Oryctolagus cuniculus: one gene and its partners. The protein of the gene in region 1 purifies or fractionates together with the protein of each later gene. This does not show direct contact. Links are inferred from orthologs where the notes say so. Each region holds a gene or a part of one and is shown on either strand. Other genes may lie near its edges.

Region 1 (7,904 bases):
AAAGAATGAATGAACCAAGAAACGAATGAAGTGATCATCTCATCAAACTCATCATCTGGATTTAAAAATACGCCTCGTGGTTAAGATGCTCATCAAGATGCCTGCATCCGTATCACAGCGCCTGGGTTCAATGCCCAGCTCTCCTCCTGACTCCAGCTTCCTGCCAGTGCAGACCCTGGGAGGCATGGGTGATGGCTCAAGTGACTGGGTCCCTGCCACCCAGTGGGAGACCCAGGTTTGAGGGAGTTCCCAGCTCCTGGCATTTGGAGAATGAGCCAGTAGATGGGAGCTTGCTCTGTCTCTGCTTCTCAAATAAACTGTTTTTAAAAGATCTATTTATTTACTTGAAAGGTAGAGCTACAGAGAGGCAGAAGCAGAGAGAGAGAGAGAGAGAGAGAGAGAGGTCTTCCATCTGCTGGTTCACTCTCCAAATGACCAAAATGCTGTCGCTACACCAAACTGAAGCCAGAAACCAGGAGCTTCTTCCTGCTCTCTCACGCGGGTGCAGGGGCCCGCCCAAGGACTTAGGCCATCTTCTACTGATTTCCCAGGCCATAGTAGAGAGCTGGATTGGAAGAGGAGCAGCTGAGCCTGGAACCAGTGCCCGAATGGGATGGCGACACTGCAGGCAGCAGCTTTACTCGCCACGCCACAGTGCTGGACCCCTCAAATAAATTTTCAAAATGTCTTTAAAAAGGCCTGGAAAAGTGAAGAGGGGACCTGCATTAGGAGACCAAGGTCAAAATGCCAGACTAACAAAGGCCTTTGGAGGCTGGGTGGGCCACCAGGGTTCCCCAGCCCGTGCAGGGAGAGCTCAGCTGGCAGCCCCGTCCAGCGCAGGACTTTCCCACCAGCAAACACAGAGGACACAGGAAACACAGCGCCCACGGAACCCCCACCCCAGCATCCCCGCTTCACAAAGTGAGGTCTGGTTCCCAACAGCAAATTCTCACTCCTGCAGACGCAGCCACCCTGGCCCCGGGTGCAGCCGTGCCCAACACTCCAGCAGCAAGCGCGCTGGGACCACACAGCACCCAGGTGGACCAAGTCCAGGCCCTCCCAGCCACAGCAACACGGAGCTCCCAGGTTTCCACCCCCAGCAGTGCCCCAGCCCCCTTCCCACGGCCTCTTCAGAAAAGGGAGTCCCTTGGTTGTGCAACTGGTTAAGATTTTAACAGCTGGCCACTGTAACACCCTACGCCCGCTCCGCCTAAGTAACCCAAGACCAAAAATTCAACCCAGCGCTCAGGACCTTAAGAATCTAAGTGGCTGATAGGAATTCCCAGGCCCCACACTCTGCCATGCAAGGTGGAGACACAAACCTGGGGTGGCATCCCTCCCCACGGTGTCTGACCACAGCCGCCCGCCGCAGAAGCAGCCCCGGGCGGGCGGCCCCTCCAAGCCCTAGATCTGGCCGTCCTGTGCTCTGTCCAGACCATTTCTCTCAGGGGGGCTTTCTCTGTTGCCACCCCCCAGGCTCTCACACCACAGCGCCTTCCTTCTGTCCCTCACTTTTGTTTTGCTTGAAACAAAACGATGCGGGTGAGTAAGCGACGCTGTGAGCTTCCGACTGGCAGGTTAATCACTTCCTATTGGCCCATCAGCAACCTTCTCTCCCCCTTGGAAATGGCACATTCCTGTCTTTGTGGCTTCTCTGTTTACACACATTTTGCTACCTAATGTCAACACTTGCTAATGAATAAATATATCACTCCACTCACCGAAAATGAGGTCCCGGCCTGGCAGAAGGACTGCTAAGACAGCAAGACCCACCAGAACGTGACCTTGCTGCTCTATGGCTTGGGGAGGCTTCTGGGAACACCATCCTCCCTTCTGATGGAAACCTACAGCTAGGAATGCACAGGGAAAACCAAAAATGGGCCGCCATCGTCCCTGGAAGACCTAACCTTAACCTCCTGCAGGAATTCTTGATGCTTGAAGCCACAGTCCTCGGGGAAGCGGAGCTTGGTCACTCCAGTTAAGGTTTGTTACAAACACAGGGAGTTGGTTATCTCATTAATGACCATTTATCTGGTGTTTTGTAAATCGAAAGCAAAATATCACATGCTCCACAGGCCCCTTATTAGACAGGCACCAGGCAAGCAGCAACGCCTTCCCAGCTTGGGGGAGCTGGTGCAGTCCCAGGAGGGCTGGCTCCGCGCACGGGGCTTCGGTTACACGTTCATTAAAGTATTTAATGTATGACAACGCCCCGGCAAAACTTTTAATTAGTGGGGGGAACGGCCCAACAGCCAAAATGCATGAGGCAGAAGGACCTGGAGAATTCCAGGACCTAAACGGCGCCCAGCCCTTCGCTCCTCCCGCGCCAGACCCTTGGCAAAACCAACCATGGCACCAGTGTGCGCCGGTGCACAGGCACAGACACCAGTTACAGTCTGTACTCTCCAGCAGGTGACTCTGCCTGGAAGAAGGGGCTGCAGGCTGCCAGCCTGTCTCCGGGGTCACCCCCCAGGTCAGTTCTGCTAACCCTGTCGCCTGGCACCGCAGCACCAAAGGTTGGGACCCCTGTGTCGCCAGCCAGAAATCAAACGCGGACAACCACAGCAGGGCTGATGCCAATCTCAAATGGGTTTCTGCCCTGGCCGGGGGCCCTCCCGAGACAAACCAACAGGCAGGCAGAGGTACCCTAAACACTTTCATGACCAGACCAAGGATTCCCAGGAAAAAAAAGGACAGGGCTGACTTGTATGTGACTGGGGCAGGGGGCACCTACTCCCCTCTGGCTTCTGGAACTTCTTAAATGCACCACCATCCTATCCTAGACAGGCCAAACTCGGCACCTCCATTCCCTCAAACCAGCCCTGATTCCTTGGGCACTCGCCACAGTCTCTGAAGGTTCCCATCACCCTGCTCTGCTTAGTCCCCAAGCCACTTCTTTGTGGCTTAAAGCATCCGGGTATTAAAATCCAACCAGCTTCAGAGGCAGAGGGCAAATATACGTGAAAATGGAACCCAAGGTAAAGCTTATCTAGAAGAGGTCTTTGCAAAGAAAGAAAGAAAAAAAAAAAAGGCAAAAAACCAGCCACACTAACACAAAGTCACCAAACTTCCAGCACAGGAAACCCAGGTGCCACTTGGGGCGAGGCCAGCACCTCCCCAAGGCTGCTGTCTGGACACAAAACACCCCGCTTCTAGCAGAATAGGAAAAGCATTTTTTCCAAGCCATCTACTCACCAGTTGGTTTGAGAAAATCCATCGGGTATCTGGAGTAAGGAGGAGGGGGAGACTCTGGAATTAAAAAGAGGAAATAAAGGCCGGGCCATGAGAAAGAGAGATAGAAACTTATGATAACAGAGGCATTCTTTCGGCCCCACTGTTTGTCTTAGCTGTGGGGGTTGGAGGCAGGGCTGCGGGGCGGTGATTGCCTTGATATTTAGCTGTCAGATAAACAAAAGAGGCCGCCTGGCGCCAGCCTCGGCGCTCCGCTCCTCCACGTCTGCGGCGGCCGCCGCCGCCGCGCTCGCCCAGCCGGGCTGGAAACCACCAGCTCGGCCGCGGCTCGGCCGGGGCCGCGCGCCTCGCGGCTCCCCGGGTGGAGGGGGGACAGCCCGGCCCCGAACCCTAGACCCCCATCCCACCTCCCGCCCCAGCCCCTGCGAGGGAGGCACGGGACTCCCCATTCCCAGCCCAGGGGGAAGACGCGCCCCAAGCGTGCTGGTGAGCTTGGGGGGCACCTCGTCCCAGGCACCTTAACCTTTGAAAGAAAAGGTGGGGTGGGGGGAGAACGCAGGCAAGTGGGAAGGCCAAAGGGAAGGGGCTCGGGAGCTCTGTCGGGGGAGCCCAGGCCCCAGCTCCGGGACGGGCAGCAACGTCACCAATGCGCTGGGATAGAGCATTCCAGACCCAGTTCTGCGCCCGTTTGGTGCCAGAGAAAGGAGAAGGCGGGGGACACTCGACTTCAGGCCTCTAGAACGGCGCAGCCCAGGGCGCCATCCCAGCCGGGCCTCCCCTGCTAACCCGAGCCAGGGCAACATCTGGGCCGCCCGTGCCCAGTGTCTCCGCGGCCGCCAAAAGCAGCTCGGCCCTCCCTCTCGCTTCTCCCAGCCTTCCTTGGCGGGCTTGGCCCGGATCCAACTCGGCCACACACCTCAGCGCCTTTCCGGGTGCGGGGGAGGCGTGAGCCCCACTTGTCTCCGCACCCGGGTGCCGATGCGGAAGTGAGGACGTCTTTTTAACCGCCCATCAGTACAGTGTGTGGTGGAGCTGCGGCCACAGGGCCCCTGGGGGCGCCGGACAGACCTGGGAGGGAACCCCCAGGGAAAGCCCTCGGAGCCCGCCCCGGCCCCCCGTGTCTCTCTCCGCCCGGGAGGTGACTCGCGGCGCCGCGCGCCGGTCGCGGGGCGGGAGCAACTCCTCACCTAGTTCGCAGAGTCGGCTAAGGTGATGGGGGTTGCAGCACACCAGTTCGGGGTTGATCTTCCCGTAAGATTCACAGCAACACAGCCTCTTGACTTCCGAGGAATGCCTGAGATCCGGCCACCTGAACACTTTGCACAGCAGAAGGGGCAGCGAGTAGGACGAGGGCGGCTGCGCGGGCTGCGCGCTGGCGGGCGCCCCCGGGCCCGGCCTGCAGTCCAGGCGGCCGGGCAGCAGGAGGCACGCGGTGCGCGTCCCGCCCCGGGACTCCACGGCCTGGAGCAGCAGCTCCAGCTGCCGCTCCTTCAGTTTCTTGAGCACCGAGTGCGTGAGCGCCTTCAGATCCGCCTCGGCGCCCCCGGCCGCGCCGACGCCCGCGGCCGGCGGGTGGGGGTGGTGGTGACCTTTGGCACCTCGGACCGCCTTGCCCAGGCAGCAGCCAGCCCTGCCCGCGCCGCCGCCACCGGCCCCATGCGCCCGGCCGTCCGTCGCCCCTTCTCCCCGCAGCTCGCCTCCGCCCGCACCCTCCTCCCCGTCCTCGCCGCCGGGCGCACGGCTCCTCCAGAGACGCCGGACGAGCGCAGATCGTTTGGTCCTGAACATGCGGGGCGAGGAGGCGAGGAGAAAAGTCGTTTGCCGGCTAAGGAGCGAACATGACCTCCGCACACCATGAAGAACTCGGGCGCCGAGTTGAGGCAGCAGGCGCAGGCGACAGCAGCAGCAGCAGCAGGGGCCCAGGCAGGAGCGGCGGCGGCCCGAGGGGCGCTCCGTGGCATGCGCCAGTCTCCCGGAGGCCGGGGCGCGCGCGGGGGCCCGGGGGCGCCCGCCGGGGCTCGGGGGCCTGCGCTCCGGCTGCCCCACCCCGCGCGGCCCGCGCCCTGCGCGGCTCTCGGGCCCCGGCGCGCCCCGGAGGAACGCGGCCGCCGCTTCCCTGGGGGCGGCCGAGCCTGCCCCCGTCGGCGCCTCCCCAGCGAGCGGCCCCCCCGCGGCGGCTCCCGAGTGTCGGGCTCGCCAGCCTCGGCTTCCTACATGGAAGATCCGCGGGGGCAGAAACCGAAAGGCGCCCGGCGAGGCTGCCCGAGCGAGCAAAGAGCCTCGTTCCCCCTTGCTAAGCAACTTAATTTGGGGGTGGGGAGAAGCAGGCAATTATAAAAAAAAAAAAAAAAAAAAGCAGGCACGCGATTTATTTTTTTCCTCTATATCCTTAGTAACCGGATCTCCTCGAATTCCGTGCGCACGAAGGCTCGGGGGAGGGGGCCGAGCGGACTTCACCCCGCATGAGCCGTCTGGCGAAACGTGGAGGTTCTCGCCGAACCTCAGAAGCAAATATGCAAAAGCCCCAGATGAAAACCACCAGCTCGTCCGCCCGCAGCCGGGGCTTGGGAGGAGAAAATGTTTACAAAGTGGAACAAGACGCTTGCGGGGTGCAGAGGCGCATCCACGAGCTACATGCCCGCTCCGTTCCTCGCAGAGCCTCGTTGGTCTTCCTCTCCGTTTCTTCTGCCTCCCCCCGAAAGATCGTGTAATTTTTTTTTTTTTAATCCACAGAAAGGTCGGGCTAGGCTGCTTCAATCCTGCGCATCCGGGTGTCCCAGGGGAGTCTCTGGTCTTTCCTCCTGCGGTCCCGGGGGCCCAGGTTCTCGGCGGGGACTTCCTCGGGGCTGGCGGGGGCGCAGGGGCAGAAGATGCTGCCGCTGCGGCTGCGGCGGCGGCGGCGACTGCGCCCAGCGGGGCTGACAGCGCGGGGGAACGCGGCACGGCGGCCACCGCGGGCCCCCGGTGGGTCGCACGCTCCTGCCCCCCCGGGCACAAGCTGCCGGCTAGCGCGGGGGCCGCTGGCGCCCCCTCCCCTGGCCGTGGCTGGCCGCCGGGGCTCCCCGCATGGGCTGCTCGCCCCGAGCCGGCTTCGGCGGCGGGAGGCCCCGGTGTCCTCTCGCCGCCTCCTCTGAGACTCCTCTCGTCGCAGCCGGCTGCCTCCTTGTCCCCCGTCCGCCCTCTCTCGGCGCTCGGGTCCTGCTGCCGCCTCCGGGGGCTCTCCGCGGCGCGCTCAGGGGCTCCGGGGCCGGGCGCTCGGCGGCTCGGCGCCGGCGGGCTGGCTCCGTCTCAGGCAGCTCTCTCCGGCGCGGCTCCCGGACCGAGCACGGCGCCCGGCTGGCTCGGCTGGCGCGGCTCGGGGACAGGATCCTCCGTGCGCCGAGCTGCAAGCGAGTGTGCCCGGGGCTCGCCGCCTCCCGCAAGGCCTCCGGCCCCCGCCCCCTTCCCTCCCCCTTCTCCCCCCTTCCCTCCCCCGCCCCGGCCGCCGCCGCCTCCTCCTCCCCGCCCCCCCGCCCGGCCCTCGGCTCGGCTGGTTCCACTGCGCAGTGGCGCGCCCGGCTCCGGCCTCGTCACGTGGCCGTCTAGACACCCTGTCGCTTTAAAAAAAAAAAAAAGCGATTGTGTTTCGCAAACAACAGATCGGGTTTCTAAAAGCTATTTCTCCCCCCCGCCCGCCACCGCCACCCCCTCCTGGGTCTGCAGCAGGGGGACCAATGTGGGGGGGCTGGGGGGGTGGAGAGGCAGGGGCCAGCGGGGCGCCCAGATCCGACCGAGACCCGGCTGGCGCGGGGGAGGCTGTGTGGACGAGCCGAGACGCCGGGCGGGACGAGCCGGTCGCTGGCCCGACCTGGACCGAGCCGAGCTGCGCCGGGGCCGTCCCGCGCGCGCTCGCCCGCGCGCTCCATTCATTCGTTTTGTTTGAAAGGCGCTGGCGGCCGAGCCCTGGCCGCGCCGGAGGGAGAGGGGTGTAGAGCGCCGCCTGTTCGAAAGACATTCACACCGGGCTGGAGCGGGGCCTGGGAAGTGCGCGCTGCAGGGAACAGCCGGGCCGCCGGGGGCGGGAGGCGGCGCGAGCGTGACCTCAGCGGCGGCCCGCTCCCGCTCCGGGCTCCGGTTTCCAGGACCGCCTGGAGAAGCGTGTCTTGTGCACGGCTGTGGAATGCGTTTGGCTGGCTGACGGGCCGCGAGGGGCGGCATCCCGGCGGGGGGCGGGGGCGGGGGCTCGCCCGCGGGCCGCCCGCAGGTTTCCTCCCGGCCCGGAAGGCTTCGGACAGCCGCCCGCGCCCCCGGCCCGGGGAGGTCCCCTGCGAGCAGACCCGCCTGGAGCGTTCGCTTGCGCGCGGAGCCTGTCCCTGCGCGCCTCTCGGCCGCGCAGCTCTCAAGCGCTCCGGGTCCGAGCTCCCCTGCACCCCGGGCTCCCCAGAGACAGACCCCCTGCTGGCTGGTGGCCGCAGGGCCCCGGCGGGGTGATGGGGCAGAGGACGTGCGCAGGCTTCGAGGAGGCCGCTAGTTGGCACGGCGATCTAGCCTCGCCTCTTATTCACTGAAATAGAATTTTTTTTTTTTAATCATTGCCGTGACATCAGCACAGCCCTGAAACTCCTTGGGGATTTTTAAGTATCTTTAGAGAAGGTGATTGACGTGTACTATTTTCATCTCCCCAGCTACATTGTATTTTCTTAAAAGGAAAAGCCCGAGATGAGTTTAGACAC
Region 2 (7,119 bases), on another chromosome or scaffold:
GGTGGGGATTCAGTCCCAGGCACTCTGATGTGGGTACAGGTATCCAAGTGGCAGCTTACCTGCTGTGCTACACACCTGCTCTGTAGTTGTTAGATGGGCAGACAGTGTGAAACTGCTGTTTCAGCATTTCATGGGATTTAATTGGCATCATCAATTTACACATCAGTTTGTGTATTGAATTTTTTTAGTCTAATCTCTCAACTATGTAATACTCTGTATATGCCTATGTATGTTCTGTGTGGAGAAATAAAGTTTATGGAACAGTTAAAAATAATGTGGCCGCCATTCAGTAAAATAAAACATTGACTTCTTTTTTAGGTACATGGCTCCTGAAGTTCTAGATGATTCCATAAATATGAAGCATTTTGAATCCTTCAAACGTGCTGACATCTATGCAATGGGCTTAGTATTCTGGGAAATTGCTCGACGATGTTCCATTGGTGGTAAATTGCTCTCTTCTTTCCCAGCAGTTTGTCATGAGCAGAACTTGTTGAAGAATTACATTCTTTCCTATTGAATTATATATAATGTGTCTACAGTCTGAAACAGGTGATCACTGAGAGTGCCAGAGAAAACAAAGGGGGAATGACATGACATACAGATTGTACAGCTTTATTTTAGTGAATTCTTTTCCTGTTTCCATTTGAATCTTGGCAAGCATCAGAAGCCGATTCCTTGTTACACTGGGATAGACTTATGTGTCACAGACCGCTGGTTGAGAGGCTGGCTAGGAAGTTATTTTAACATGTACCTGGATGATACATTTTTTTCCCTTGAGATTGTGGTTATTTTCTCCAACTTGATAGCTGTAGACTACATATACAGAAAACAGTGACATCATCATTCCATCCCGTGACTTTCAGTACATTTGTTCTGACTTTTAAGTTTCGTTTCAGATTGAGCACTTTGTAGTATTTACCGAGAAGCAGTCTGTTAGACTTGGAGCCCAGGATTGATCGAGAGCTATAGACTCAGGTTTTTGAGGCAGCGAGGGACAGAGGCTCTGTATAGTGGCAAATAGGACTTGTAGTTGACAGTTGCATGCCGACAAAGGGACTGGCACTCTGTAGGATTCACATCCTCAGCTGAGCACACATGTGTACTGAATGAGAGGCTAGAATAGAAAATCTCATTTGCTGCACAGTAGCCTTCTAGGCGAAAATGGCAATCTGGTTATCACAGCTCATAGTTAACCATCATTGAAAAAAGCCCGTGCTGATCTCATGGCAGTGTTGAGTTTCATGATGTGAGCCCAGAACAGACGGGCAGGGGCGGAGCTTGTTGATGCAGATGTGGAGCAGAGAAAGCTGTGAGTCCTGGGCACTGTAATAGGCCCTTTGGGTGATCCTTTTAATGGTTTGGCATTAGCTGAATAAATTTTTCAAAATAGTTTGTATTTTTTTTAACCAATCTAGGAATTCATGAGGATTACCAGCTGCCTTATTATGATCTTGTACCTTCTGATCCATCAGTTGAAGAAATGAGAAAAGTTGTTTGTGAACAGAAGTTAAGGCCAAATATTCCAAACAGATGGCAGAGCTGTGAAGTGAGTATTTCTTTTTGATACTAGGCAAATTTCTGAACTGCATTTGCTTAGTTGCAAAGTGAAAATTAGCTACTTTTTCTTAAGGAAAATGGACAAGAATTCTCTTTTTTCTTTCCTTTTCATAGCACTTTATGCAGTAGATAAAAATGAAGCAATTTGCTTTCCACAACACACTGAAAGGGCCCTGGAGCACTTGCAGTGGCCATTAGTGAGTCCAAGGTTGTTTAGGTCCGCCCAGTGAGCTTAGGCATCGGCCTTGTCAGTCACTGTTTCCCTTCAGCCAGACAAGCCCAGAGTGATGTGGTAAGTGCTGGACAGGGAATAGGACGTTTGCAGCCTGAGCACCCGCTGCATGCACAGGCTTTATTTTTGTTTATTTTGTTTTTTAAAGATTTATTTATTTATTTGAAAGAGTTAATACAGAGAGAGAAGGAGAGGCAGAGAGAGAGAGAGGTCGGTCTTCCATCTGCTAGTTCACTGTTCAACTGGCCACAATGGCCAGAGCTGCACAGATCTGAAGCCAGGAGCTTCTTCTGGGTCTACCATGTGGGTGCAGGGGCCCAAGGACTTAGGCCGTCTTGTACAGCTTTCCCAGGCCATAGCAGAGAGCTGGATCAGAAATGGAGCAGCCAGGACTTGCACCGGCACCCATATGGGATGCAGGCATGCAGGCAGCGGCTTTACCCACTGTACCACAGTGCCGGCTCCGAGGCTGACTTTGGACAAGTCACTTTGCTGGAACTTGGATAAAATTATCCAAAGGTACTTCCAATGAGTTTGTTTTGTGTTCACCTGATTGCCTGGATAACCATTAAACCAGGAATTTTGAGAAAGTGCTTTCTATTTAGTAGTGTGAGCTTCTCAATCCAGGTCTTAGAAAATGTTTTTGAGGTATGTTCTTAGTTGTGAATTTAAAGAATTTGTAATTCAAACTGTACACAACCTGTCCTTAATTGCTAGCTGTCACTATTGTAATATTGGTTGAGGCAGGGCCTGTCCTTCTACATGTGATGTTTTGCAGAGTGGAAAGCTGGTCACTTCAGTAACCGATTTTCCATCTTAAAATAAGGTGAAACACTGCAGATCTGGGATATGGAGAGAGCTTGCTGCTTCCAACAAAATCAAGTATCAAGGCCCCAGGGAATACAGAACAGCATGCTCAAAGAATCCACATGCAACATAGTTTAACAGATTTGATGTGGATACTTCAAAGTAGAAACTTCATTCATATACTCATTTAATATTTGGAGCAGATTGCTATTAAACAGATGGCTTTTAAGGCTTCTAAGCATGAAGAAAAGTTAGCAGTTAACATTAAGAACACATTTGCAATTACTATCACATGCTGAATTAATGCCATCACTGTCATTTTTATTTTTTCTCAATTTGGTTAGTTTTCTATGTATTCATCACCAATTCAATGTTTGACTTTCCTAGGGTTTTATAAATCTCCTTTCGGTAACTGAAACATATCAAGAATGTGAATGTGAAACAGCTCCTAAAGACGGCTCCTCCAAGTCTTCCCACCACTTCCAGTCTGAACTGGCTGCTCTTGACCAGCTCTGCAGCTTCACACTCGAATTCTCTTTGCCTCTTTATGCTCCTTCCTGGATCTCAGCTCTGTTTCTTGATTTGTTCACTTGTTCCCTCTTTTGTGTCTCTGCTAGATGTTACTCTGTCAGTGAGACATTGCCTGTGTACCTGTTTGAGATGCCGTCTCTTTCCCTAGCATATTTGATCTCCTTCCCTAAATTATTTCTCCCTTTAATATTCACCACTATCTCCTAGTTCATGTATTTTACAATAATTTATTTATTATGTGGCTTAGCAAGGCCCATCAACAATAAATACACTAGTATTTTATTTCTTTGAGGATCTTACTGATAGGTTTTTGATATGTTCTGCTTTGTATATAGCTTCTGTGTTCTCCAGTTTGCTCTGTTCTCTTTCAGCTTCTGCATTTCACATGGTTGTCCTCACATGTGTGACAAACTTATTCTGTCCCTGGGTGAAAACGTGGCTCAGGAAGTGCTGGGAAACTGGTGCAGGTGCAGCAGCAGTGTGGACTGGGGAACGCAGGGCAGTCTCCCGGGTCACCTGGGAAATCACTGGAGTCTTGCTCTTGGGCTGCTCTGATTTTCCAGAGAAGACTCTTCCGGTCTCCTACCTGGAGAAGCATGCAGTTGCTGCCTGTGTTTTGGGCAGAAAGCTCACCATCTTAGCACTCAGTATGTTTTCAGTATGAAACTTCTACCCTTGTGTTCCTCAAGCCATAAGTCTTGTTACCCTCTCAGATTAAAAACAAAACATAACAACCTCTGGTTTCCTGTGGGGGTGAAGTTGGTGGAGGAAGGTATCTGGGGCCCCACTCCGCTCTTTGAGTTTGTCCTCCTGTTTTTACCCTAGGATTGGTCTGTGCAGTTACTGTCTCGCTTTGGGGCTAGGATCAATGTGAGTTAAGCTCCTGCATGGCCTTGCCCAGCTCTGGTTAAGGATTCAGCTTTTTCAGGTCTGCTAGGTACGTCACACCTGTCCATCTGGTTCTGACAACAGTGGCTGACAACAGTATGCCATCAACCAAAATTTAAGTCATTTCTAGTGATTGGCAATTACAGATAACACTTACATTTAAAAAAAAAACAAACCTGTATATATGTCATTTTAAATGAAAATTTACAGGAAAAGATTCTTACCCAAATCAATGGAAAGTGGGGCATGCTTCAACTTCTTTTTTTTTTCTTTCTGTATTTTCTTGTAGGCCTTGCGAGTAATGGCTAAAATTATGAGAGAATGTTGGTATGCCAATGGAGCAGCTCGGCTCACAGCTTTGCGGATTAAGAAAACATTGTCACAGCTCAGTCAGCAGGAAGGCATCAAAATGTAATTCTACAGCTTTGCCTGAACTCTACTTTTTCTTCGGCTCTGCTCCTGGGTTTCAGTTTGGGAGGTCATTTGTTCTACCTCACTGAGAGGGAACAGAAGGACATCGCTTCCTTTTGCCACAGGACAGTAAGGTCCATGCAAAGCGTCCCAGGAAACAGCCACGTGGGTCCTTTCTGTGCACTATGAGCGCTTCTCTGCCAGGACGTTACAAAGTGTTGTGTAGTCTACCTTTATTTTTTATTAACAAAACTGGTTTTTTAAAAGATGATTGCTGGTCTTAAATTTAGGTAACTCTGCTGCGCTGAAGGTCATCTTTAAGGGTAAAGGAGCTGGGTTCCCGAGTTCCGGAAGACATTTCTCACTAAAGAACGCGATTTACTCCTGGTTAGTACATTCTCAGCGGATTCTGAACCACTAAAGAGTTTCCTTAATTCAGACTTTGAATGTACTGCTCTGTGCTTTTTCAGGATCTTAAAGCTAATACTTTACAACTCTTATCTTGAGTCTAAAAATGACCTCATATAGTAGTGAGGAACATAATTTATGCAACTGTATTTTGTATACTATTATTGTTCTTTCACGTTTTCAGAACATTACATGCCTTCACACTGGGATTGTGCTATACCAGTAAGTGCCACTTCTGTGTCTTTCTAATGGAAATGAGTAGAATTCCTTACATGTGTTGGAACCTGGAGTGTTCAGATTCAAAAAGTTTACTTATCTAGGTGACCCAAACCTTTTTTGTTTGTTTCTGAAATTATTTTTGTGGTAAGTCATTCGGTATTCATTTTGGAAATGCCTTTCTCCTACAAAAATGTGCTTAAACCACTAAAGGAATGAAGTGGCAGTAAATTAGCAAATTGCTATCATGGTTGTGGTTGAATATTCTCATATCATGCATTTGCATTTTAATTGTGTTGTCTAAATATACTTTAAGAAATTCAAGTGGCACTCTAGATGCATATAGTACTTTAATAACTTAAAGTTTGTAGCGTACAGACTAATTTTTCTAAAAGGGAAAGTTTGTCTAGCTGCTTGTGAAAAGTTGTGTGGTATTCTGTAAGCCATTTTTTCTTTATCTGATCAAAGACAGTGTTATTTTTTTAAGAAATGGATTACATTTAAAATTAGGGTATGGTCAATGCTAAATAATAGGCCTTTTATTAGGAAGGCAAAGGTAGTTAATGTGACTAGGCAGCAGGGTGTGTGAGAGTCACGCTTGTCTTGTAGGAGTAATGTTTGGGGGTTTCTCTATGACTGAGGTTAAAGGTAGTGTAGTTTTGAGGTCTCAGTAAACTTCAAGGAAGGCAGCTTTCGTTCGGTCTTTCCTTCTGTGTGCAGATTCTGCAGTTTTGTCACTCGCATGGTTATGTCATGAATTCAGTGCACCCGTGAGGCTGGGGAGAGGTGTTAGCTAAAGAACATTCTGAATTTAGATTCTCCATTTACAACTAGTTTTGGTCAGATTATATGGTTAAAGCAGACTTGTCATGGTCTTCTCACGTCAAGTTGAAACTAGTTTCTAATAACTGGATTTTACTCCCAGTGCTGTAAAGTTCTTGCAGGGCTTTTACAGTTGTCCTAGTCCTTTTTATCACTGTGATCTTATTCTGAAGGAGAGAGAAGCTATGGCAGCTGTGAGGCCAGACTGACTCTGTAGTGCTGCCAGTCCCCATGGAAGGGGCAGAATAACCCTACAGGTTTGGTCTGAAGAGAGGGTGGCCATTTATGCTGAATAAGTTGTGTTCTGATAATGTCTTATCTCTTACAATGAATTTAAAAGACTATTGGATCTTAAAGCCAAAGTAATTTTAGAATGAGTGACATATCACATAGGAATTTAGTGTCAATTTAATGTGTTTAAAAACATGGGAAAATGTGCTTAGAGTTAATATTTCAACTACAAATTTGAGGTTTTTTTCTGTAGCTACCATTTTGTTGAAACAAATGAGTAAGTTTGGGAGGTTTGTTTTTCTAATTGTGTTCTGTTACTTGTTTAATAATCTCTAATTTTGTAATCAGGTACTTTTTTTTTCTTTGGCCATTTCTAAGCCTGCCAGATCTGCTTTATGAAATCCAGGGGACCAATGCATTTTATCAGTAAAACTATTTTTATATATCATTTTAAGAACATACCAAAAGTTATCTGATTAAAGTTTATTGCATGATTTCTTACTTTCATAGACAATAATCAGCTTTTGCTGAAGATATTCTTTATTAAATCAAATATTGAGTTACAGGATACTATTTTTGCTTAAGTGGATAAAATGTACTTCTGATGAATCAGGGAATTTTTTTTTTTTTAAGTTGGAATTTAGTTCTAAAATGAGTTTACAGATTATTGCAGCTAATTCTTTTTTTTTTTTTTTTTTTGGCTAGGGATGGTTTGATAAACCCCATTTGGCTAATACAGAAAATGAAAGTAACTTAAAAGATGAGATGGATGATTGCTGTGGCCATAACTGTAGATACATTTGACTAGAATAATGGTTTTGTCATGTAGAAACACAGATCTTTGTTTTCATTGCCTGTCCTAAGATGCTCTCCTTCTAAGATCCAGCTTCACAAATAACCTGTCCATATTGATTCTGTCAGTGTCCCAGGTCAGTGGGGCATTGGCTTCTCGAGTTCTTCCTTCAAAGTGTGAGCTCTGTTTCTCCCAGTCTGCTTGCCTTCCTGCTGGTCTCTCT
Region 3 (7,930 bases), on another chromosome or scaffold:
GTGACGGGCAGACACGGCACCTTGGAAGCCCAGGCTCCCGTTACACCACGCAGGAGCTGGAAAATCCCGGGGAGGCAGCAGTCCAGTGTGGGTATTGCAACCTGGCCACAAGGCAGGGCCTGACTCAGGTGTGAGAACCAGAGCCCAGCACAGCCAGTGCAGGTGGAACTGACGGGTTCCAAGCGGCCCGCCCACATTGGAGGCCCAGATCACAAAGCGGCTTTCTCTTTATGAACAGAGGCAAAGGAGATAAGACCCTCTGACATCAACTCCTACTGTAACACACGACACAAGAACTCAAGCCAAGGAGGTAGGGTTCCGGAGTTAACGTTCACTCCCGCTCTGGGCAAGGACTGACCAGTCAGCAATAAAGATTTCAAAAATGAAAACACAAGATGCACTTCAGTATTCTAATTTAACCTTCAAAACTAGAGAGGTTCCGAGACACGGCGCTGGTCCACCTCGACACCCCATGCTCCCAGGTTATCATGGGAACAGCCTGCAATGCAATCCAACTCACGCTCCAAATGCAACAAGCGGGCGTGCACGGGCCGTGCCGGGAGCAGCAGCGGCGGCGTCTCCTCGGCTCCTCCTTGCTTACTGATTCATATTTTGGTAGCAAGGTTACAATTAGCTCACCGGTGTAGAATAAACCTATTTATAACACAGCAGTCCACCTGAAAGACACAATCCTTTGACAAGGCTGCTGCAGGGACAGAGTGCAGCTTCACCCCCAGCCCACGCACACAGCAGGTTCCCAAGGTCCTGGGGGGGGGGGGGTTGGAGGGATGTGCAGCCTCCGCCCGGCTTCCCTTCCCGCCCTGCGTGCAGTCACTCCTCTGGCCACCTCTCGGCCTCCATGTTCTTATGTAACATTTACATAGGGCCATAAACATACCCGGAGTTGCGTAAGACTTACAACGTTGCCAAACCAATGAAGCCTAAAGCAGGTCACTCCCTCCAGACCTGCTTTGATTAGCACCCACGGTGGCAGAGAGGAATTTGAGGAGACCTGAACCCGGTCCGCAGAAGCAGCACAAAGGTAGAAAACGCACCACAAGGCCATGTGCTGCCTCTATCAATCAGAGCGTGCTCCCCTGCCCCCTGAGATAAAGTCACCCCACAGCCCTTATTCACTGAAGTCAAAAACTGCGTCTAAAAATACCTCCACCAACTGGCCCTCAGTCAGCAGCCCCACACCCGGCCTGAGGACAGCCACACAGCGCCGCACCAGGAGGACCACTGAGGCAGGCGCCCAAGGCTTGGCCAGTTGGTCAAGGGCCGCCTGGAAAGGAGCAAAGTTCCCGGACTGAAAAGCAGTCCCCTCCTCCTCTGCTTCCTCCTCCTCCTCCTGCCTCTAACCTTTAACCAGGGTGGCCATTTTAACAGGTTTTATCACATCAGCTCCGGGAGCTGTCCTAACAAAACTCCAGAGAGGGTCTCTGCTCCTCCACAGGAGCTGGCTTCCGCCCTGTTTCCAAATCCACGGCCACGCAACAAAATCACAGGGCTTGGCTTCAAGTTGGATTTTTAGTCAACTCAAAAGGAACCTCCAATGTCTGTCCCTCTGCTTTTGTCCTGAGACATCGAAGTCCTGTTCTCCTTTTACTAACTCAATGTTAACCACTAAGGTAAACATTCCAAAGCCAGGTCTTAACAACACGATATACCTATCAAATGGATGCTATTTCTAGCCTGAAACTCATTCTCTGTATCACCTTGGCCTTTCGCTGTGTCCCAGGTAATTCATTAATTAATAGAAACACCTATCCTTCTACTGCTTTCCCTCCCCCTCCAAGCTGTGGGCATCGGAGCTGCCGGGCTCTGTCCCTCTCCCAGACCATGTAGGGGAGCACAGGAAAGGCAGGGCATGGAGAAAAAAAATCAACTTCTTGTCATTGCACAGCCTCTACTTTCCCAGAAGTGACGTGTGACTTTAAGCCTTTTGCAACAGTGGTCTCAGCAGCGTGCACTACTGGCAACTCCATGTGTCCCGGAAAAAAAAAATATAGTGTCTGGCCAAGAAGTTGAAAGGCCCTTGAGAATGTTTGCTGGACACACAACCTAATTTCCCAGTTGCCAAAAACAGAAAGGAGCTCCCTCTTACGCCCACCCACCCTCACCCCAACAAATGTCCATTGTAGGCAAGTTACCAAAAAAATGAACTCTGCCCCATTCACAACCAGTGGGATTATCAATTAAACACTCTTAACAACAACAAGAGAAACCCCACAGCCACTCCGCCAAACCAGCAGGGAAATAAATGATTGTTAAAAATCCTGGGGGTATGATGGGCAGGATAAAAATTCCAATGCTAGGAATTTAAGGATTTATTCACACACACACACACACACACACCACACACACCAGACAAACCTGAAGGCTTGAGTCTCCTTATTCTCCCCACCTCACTTCCTATACCAGGTTATACATCCCAAATGCACGGCCCATAATAAGCCCCCCATGCTTCCCCTTCCCTGCAAACATCCTTATTCATGGAAATCGCTATCAGGCAACAAAGGTGCACCTTTACGGTGTTTATAAGACCTGTGGAGGTTACCTATGCCCCAAGGACGGGCGAGGTGCTTACCGGGAGCATTAGCCAGTGAACAAAGACCCCACTGCAGAGCCTATACCGCCCGGAACAAACATCAAAGCCCGAGATAATGAACTTGTTTTCTGAGACGCCAAAGTGGCGTCTCCTTGATGGTCTGTAGCCACCTGAGAACACGAACACACGCGCGCGCGCGCGCACACACACACACACACACACACACACACACACATACACACACGGCCCCCAGCGCCTGGCAGGTTAGGGGGATGCTGAGAAGTCAAAGCAGCAGGCTTCCTATCCGGGGCTGGTCTCCCCCAGACCCATCTGTGGGACAACAATCAGTTCAACCTATTGAAATCCAAATATAACCTTCACCTGCTACCCCAATGCCAAAACGCATTTGAGCCGACTCTCCGAAAAGGGAAGCAGGGTTAGGGTTTCGGGGCCTCTCTGCAAACAGCACAGCCACTAGAATGTCCCCCCCACCCCCACCCCAGGAAGGTGCCCACCTTCAGGGCGGCCAGGGTGGGTACAGCATCAGGCAGCAGAGGCTGTGGGAAGGAAATTAAGTGGTGACCAAGGCGAGGCACACCGGCGATGGCCGTGGGGGTGGTGGCCAGCTTCTAGGGTTTCACCTGACAGGCATCGGCAGAGAGATCCACTGAATGGGCCCCCTGGGGTGGGGTGGGGTGGGGTGGGGGAGGCCAGGAGGAAAGCAAATACAGCCAGGATCAGAGCAGCCGCCGGGAGCCAGGCTTCACAAGGCTACCAGATTCCAGAGCCAAGCCTGGGAGAGGTGTAGGGGCCTGTTCCTCCCACTTGCTCCCCACTGCGTCGGCCCGGCGTGTGGGCTGCGAGGGTCGGGGGGTGCCCCGCTGAACTCCAGGGACGGTGCTCGGGGGAAATGGGATTCCCTTTCCCAGAACATCAGGCAAGGAGGGGACGAGCCACACCAAGTGCAGGGGGCTCAAGGAAAGGTCAGAGACCCCCTCCCCTCCAGCCCGCTGGGCGTGAGGACCCTCTCCACACCAGGATACCTCGGCGGAGAGCCAAGACCCCCCACGGCCCGAACCCCCCAATCTTGGCGGGAGAAACAGGCGCCCCCCCACCCAGGAGCATCTGGAGCGAAGATACACTGCCCCCCGCCCCCTGGACACGCTGAAGGGCAGAAGCCACGGCGCTCCCTATCTCGCAGGCGCCGGCCCCAGGGGTCCCCAGCGCCGCACGCTGAGGGTGCCAGGGGGCGCGACCCCCTGAGCGCTGCCCGGACCCAGCTCCGCCTGGAGGAGAGCTCGGGTCCCCGGGGCCCGGCCGAGCTCGGGCCGCGGCGGGGCAGCCGCGCCTCGGAGGTCGGGGGGGAAGAGGAGGAGGCCGAGCGAGGGTCACCCCGGACACCTCGCGCCCCCCGCCCGGCCATATTGTGCGCGTGGGGAGGGGGGCGCGCCGTCGCCCGGGGGCCGCAGCTCCAGGCCTCGCCCTCGCCCGGCCCTCTGCAGCCCAGCCCCCGCCCCCACCCCAGGACTCACCCTGGATCCCCCGGGGCCCGGACCCGCCGCTGCCCGCGAGCAGGAGGACGACGAGGGGGAAGAAGGAGGAGGCTCCGGCCGACTCCGCCATAGTAACCGCCGCCGCCGCAGCCCAGCAGCGCCCAGCGCGCGCGCGCGCGCGCCCCCGGCGCCTCCCCTCCTCCCGCGGCCCCGCTCCCGCCTCCCGCTCCTCCGCCCGGCGCCGGCACGTGCGCTCCCGGCGGAGCCGGCGCGCGCGCGCGCCCCCGAAAGGGCGGGGCCGGGGTGCGCGCGGGCGCCCGCCTTAAAGGGGAGTGTCCCTGTTAAAGGGGTGGGCGGGGTTCGCGCCTCGGCCAGCCTCGCGGAGCCGTGCGGCGCCCGGCGCGGAGGAGGCCGGAGCCGGACGTGCAGCCTCCGCCCCTCTGCTGCACCCCACGCAGCGCCTGGTTACCTTATCAGCGCCGATCCCCTCCCCCCAACCGGGCCCTGGGCGAGCTGCGGCTGGTGCGCGGTCGGAGCCCGGAGCCGCCCGGCGTGGCCCCAGGGCGGGGAGAGGGTCCTCGCTCGCTACCCTCGCCCCCTGCAATGCCGCGTGCGTGCACGCTCCTTCCATAACACAGCAAGGCTTTGCAAATGATGCAGCCCAGGCGTGGTGGGGGCTGGGCGCAGCCGCCGGCGCTGTCCTCCTGGCCGCGAGCGTCCTGTCTACCGAGAGCCTCTCGCTAGCCATTCCCCTTTGCCCGGTATTCGCCGGTGTCCGTGTCCGGGAAGTCGTAAGGGGAGACGACGAATGTTTATGCCGAATGTCAACTTGCCCATTTATCCTTGCGAGCACTGGACACCGCGTAGGCGCTAATCGAAGCCCGTTAAATTATGAGCCGTCTGGGAGATGGAACACGAGTTATGATTTTAAAATCATGGTTGCAAAAACTAATGGCGTGAGATACTGTTAAAGGCGTAAGTGGATTACATAACTACTCAGAGTGCTGTTCAAATTTGGTGATACTATATATTTGCATGGAAAAAAGACTGGAAGGATATTACCCAACGTTATCAGTAGTTACTGCCAGGAAGAATTCTTTTCTTTTCCCTTAAACGTTTGGGCGATTTCCAAATTTGTGCTAAATACATGTCACTTTCAGATTTAGACAAAGATGCTTATGGAAGCTAGGCGGAAGAAGAGTTCACTCCCTCAGAGGCAAGGGGGTCGGAGATGGTGAACAGGGCAGGGTCTCCCAGGCTCCTGATAACGAAGCTTGGGCAAGCTTGTAGCTTGGCTAAACCCAAGTTCCCTGGCTGTGAGCCGGACGGGCTGGAGCAAGTTTCTCAGGTGGACTCTTGCTGGACTCTTCGTCTTACAAGTTGTCATCAAACTGAAGCACCATCCTCTCCCTGGGCAGAAAAACAAGACGAGAGGCACACACACAATGCACACACGGTCACACGTGCCCAGGCACTGCCAAGTGGATCCCGCAGCTGGACAAATAAACACCTTATTTTTATTCTGCTCTCTTTCCCGCCCTCCCCCCCTCACCTCCAATAGGCACCTCCCACCTCCTGAGCATCTAACTGGTCTCCCCAGGCATACTCTGTCCACACCGGGTCTCCCAGCTGCAGTGCACACAGCTAGTTCCCCAGGGCTTCCTTCCCGAAGCACCACCAACTGGGTAGCTTAAAATAACAGAAACGTGTTCTCTCACAGCTCTGGAGGCTGGAAATCTGAGACCACAGTGTTGGCAGGGCCACTGCTCTCTCTGAAGAGCCGAGGGAAGAATCCTTTCTCGCCTCTTCCAGCTCGTGGTGGTACCCTGAATCCTTGCTCTTCTTTGGTTTGTGGAAACAAAGCTCCCATCTCTGCCTCTTGGGTCTTCTCAGGGCTGCCTGCTCTCTGAGTCTGTGTCTCTGGTCCCATCTCTCTCTTCTCTCTCTCTCTCTCTCTGATTTCAGAAGGACACCAGTCATTTAGGGCCCACCTTAATCCAGTCGGCGGGCATTCCAGTAATCTTTGATTACCTCCACAAAGAGCTTGAGGTCTTCTTTGAAGGTTCTGGGTAGATGTGAGTGTAGGAGGGACACTGTTTAACAGATACAATCAGCAAGCTGTCTCTGTGTTTGGGAAGGGAAAACAGGTCCTCCCCTCCCCTTGCAAGGGGCAGAGACTCTCCTTTGTGTCTTGCTCAGTAAGGGTTGCCACTATGTTGCCACTGTGGCTACAATAACAGATGCACCAGCAGTAAAGCTAAGGTTGCTTTACCGCTAGGCAGCAAAGCCAGCCACGAGCCTCAAGGCACCAGGCCAAATTCTGGGTCTGGGGATCAAATGCCATCTCCAGTAGCTCCCTTAATAGCGTTTGACTTTGAGCAAGTTGTTTTCTCTCCCTAAGCCTCAATGCACTCATCTGTGGAATGGAGCTGAGCACAATTCTGTGTCATAGAGATGTGAGAATTGCTTCAGATACTCTATGGAAGAGACCAGCACTGTGGCATAGTAGGTTAAGCTGCCGCCTATGGTACAGCCATTCTATATGGGTTCTGGTTTGAGTCCTGGCTGCTCCACTTCCAATCCAGCTCCCTGCTGAAGGCCTGGAAAAGCAGCAGAAGATGGCCCAAGTGCCTGGGCCCCTGAGCCGCATGGGAGACCCAGAAGAAGCTCCTGGCTCCTGGATTCAGATCAGCCCAACTCCAGTCATTGCAGCCATTTGGGGAGTGAACCAGCAGATGGAAGACATCCCTCTCTGTCTCTCCCTCTCTCTCTAACTCTGCCTCTCAAATAAATAAATCTTTTAGAAAAAGATATTCTAGGGAAAGCATTTAGTCCAGTCTCTGACATGCAGGAAATGAAAGAACAGCTGTTATGATTATTGGCCCTTGGTCTTCACTGTGATCCTGAGTGGTGCCCACTTTATGCTTGAGGTGACTGAGACCTAGAGAAACAGCTTGCCAAGCTCACGTGGAACTGATCATTAAAGCCACAGCCCACTGCCCTGTGCTTTCTGCAACATCTCAAACTTTTTCCAGGGTCAGGGCTTCAGGATTGGATGCAGGTGGGAAAGAAGACTTGACAGGAAGGGGTGAGTTCTATCCTGCACACACACACACACCACTCACCTGTGTTTGGGGCATCTCCTCCTGGAGATGAGGCCCCTTCCCTTCCAGGTTCCGGGGTGCACAAGGACAAACGTCCCAGTCCACGCCTGTGCCCCATGCCCCTTCCCACAGGGCAAGCTTCGCCCACCCCTCCTCACCATCCCTGAAGTCCTCAGCAAGGCATCCATTTTTGTTTTTAAGATTTATTTATTTATTTCAAAGGCAGAGTTACAGAGACGTGGAGAGAGAGAGACAGAGAGATCTTCCATCCAATGGTTCATTCCCCAAATGGTTGCAACAGCTGGGGCTAGGCCAAGCTGGGAGCCTGGAACTTCATACTGGTCTCCCACGCGGGTGCAGGGGCCCAAGCACTTGAGCCATTCTCCGCTGCTTTCCCAGGCCATTAGCAGGGAGCTGGATAGAAAGTGGAGCAGAACCCAGGACTTGAATCAGCGCTTATACGGGATGCTGGTGTTGCAGGCAGTGACTTAACCTGCTGTACTACAATGCTGGCCCCAAAGTGTCTGTTTTTGTAAGCTACCTTCGTTTTAGGGCTGCACCTGCACCACAGTCCACACACTTCTTTTGCCTTCTGCTCTACTAGGAAAAATTTGCTCTCCAGGTTCCAGTAAGCAGATCACCCAGCATTACAACTGCCATCTTGGTCACAAGACACAGTTTCCTAGGAGACAGCACGGTTTGCCTTGGGGAGCAGCAAGGTCATTAGTCACAAGAAGACTAAAGATTTTTTTTAAAGATTTATTTCATTTTTATTTGAAAGG

What was found.
Region 2: the proteins of SMAD7 (region 1) and TGFBR1 purify together in Homo sapiens (affinity purification with western blotting; 19 studies listed by BioGRID). This does not show direct contact. The link is inferred for Oryctolagus cuniculus from reciprocal best matches to the Homo sapiens genes SMAD7 and TGFBR1.
Region 3: the proteins of SMAD7 (region 1) and ACVR1B purify together in Homo sapiens (affinity purification with western blotting; 3 studies listed by BioGRID and IntAct, with this or other methods). This does not show direct contact. The link is inferred for Oryctolagus cuniculus from reciprocal best matches to the Homo sapiens genes SMAD7 and ACVR1B.

The regions. Positions count from the first base shown.
Region 1 is NC_091441.1:28,914,943-28,922,846, reverse strand, and holds the start of SMAD7 (mothers against decapentaplegic homolog 7), read right to left. Parts: upstream 4,981-7,904; coding exon 4,380-4,980; intron 3,250-4,379; coding exon 3,196-3,249; intron 1-3,195. UniProt on the Homo sapiens protein: Antagonist of signaling by TGF-beta (transforming growth factor) type 1 receptor superfamily members; has been shown to inhibit TGF-beta (Transforming growth factor) and activin signaling by associating with their receptors thus preventing SMAD2 access.
Region 2 is NC_091432.1:202,805,995-202,813,113, forward strand, and holds part of TGFBR1 (TGF-beta receptor type-1), read left to right. Parts: intron 1-318; coding exon 319-443; intron 444-1,415; coding exon 1,416-1,546; intron 1,547-4,304; coding exon 4,305-4,430; 3' UTR 4,431-7,119. UniProt on the Homo sapiens protein: Transmembrane serine/threonine kinase forming with the TGF-beta type II serine/threonine kinase receptor, TGFBR2, the non-promiscuous receptor for the TGF-beta cytokines TGFB1, TGFB2 and TGFB3.
Region 3 is NC_091442.1:55,281,970-55,289,899, reverse strand, and holds the start of ACVR1B (activin receptor type-1B), read right to left. Parts: upstream 4,282-7,930; 5' UTR 4,175-4,281; coding exon 4,084-4,174; intron 3,109-4,083; exon of another isoform or gene 3,067-3,108; intron 2,078-3,066; exon of another isoform or gene 1,166-2,077; intron 1-1,165. UniProt on the Homo sapiens protein: Transmembrane serine/threonine kinase activin type-1 receptor forming an activin receptor complex with activin receptor type-2 (ACVR2A or ACVR2B).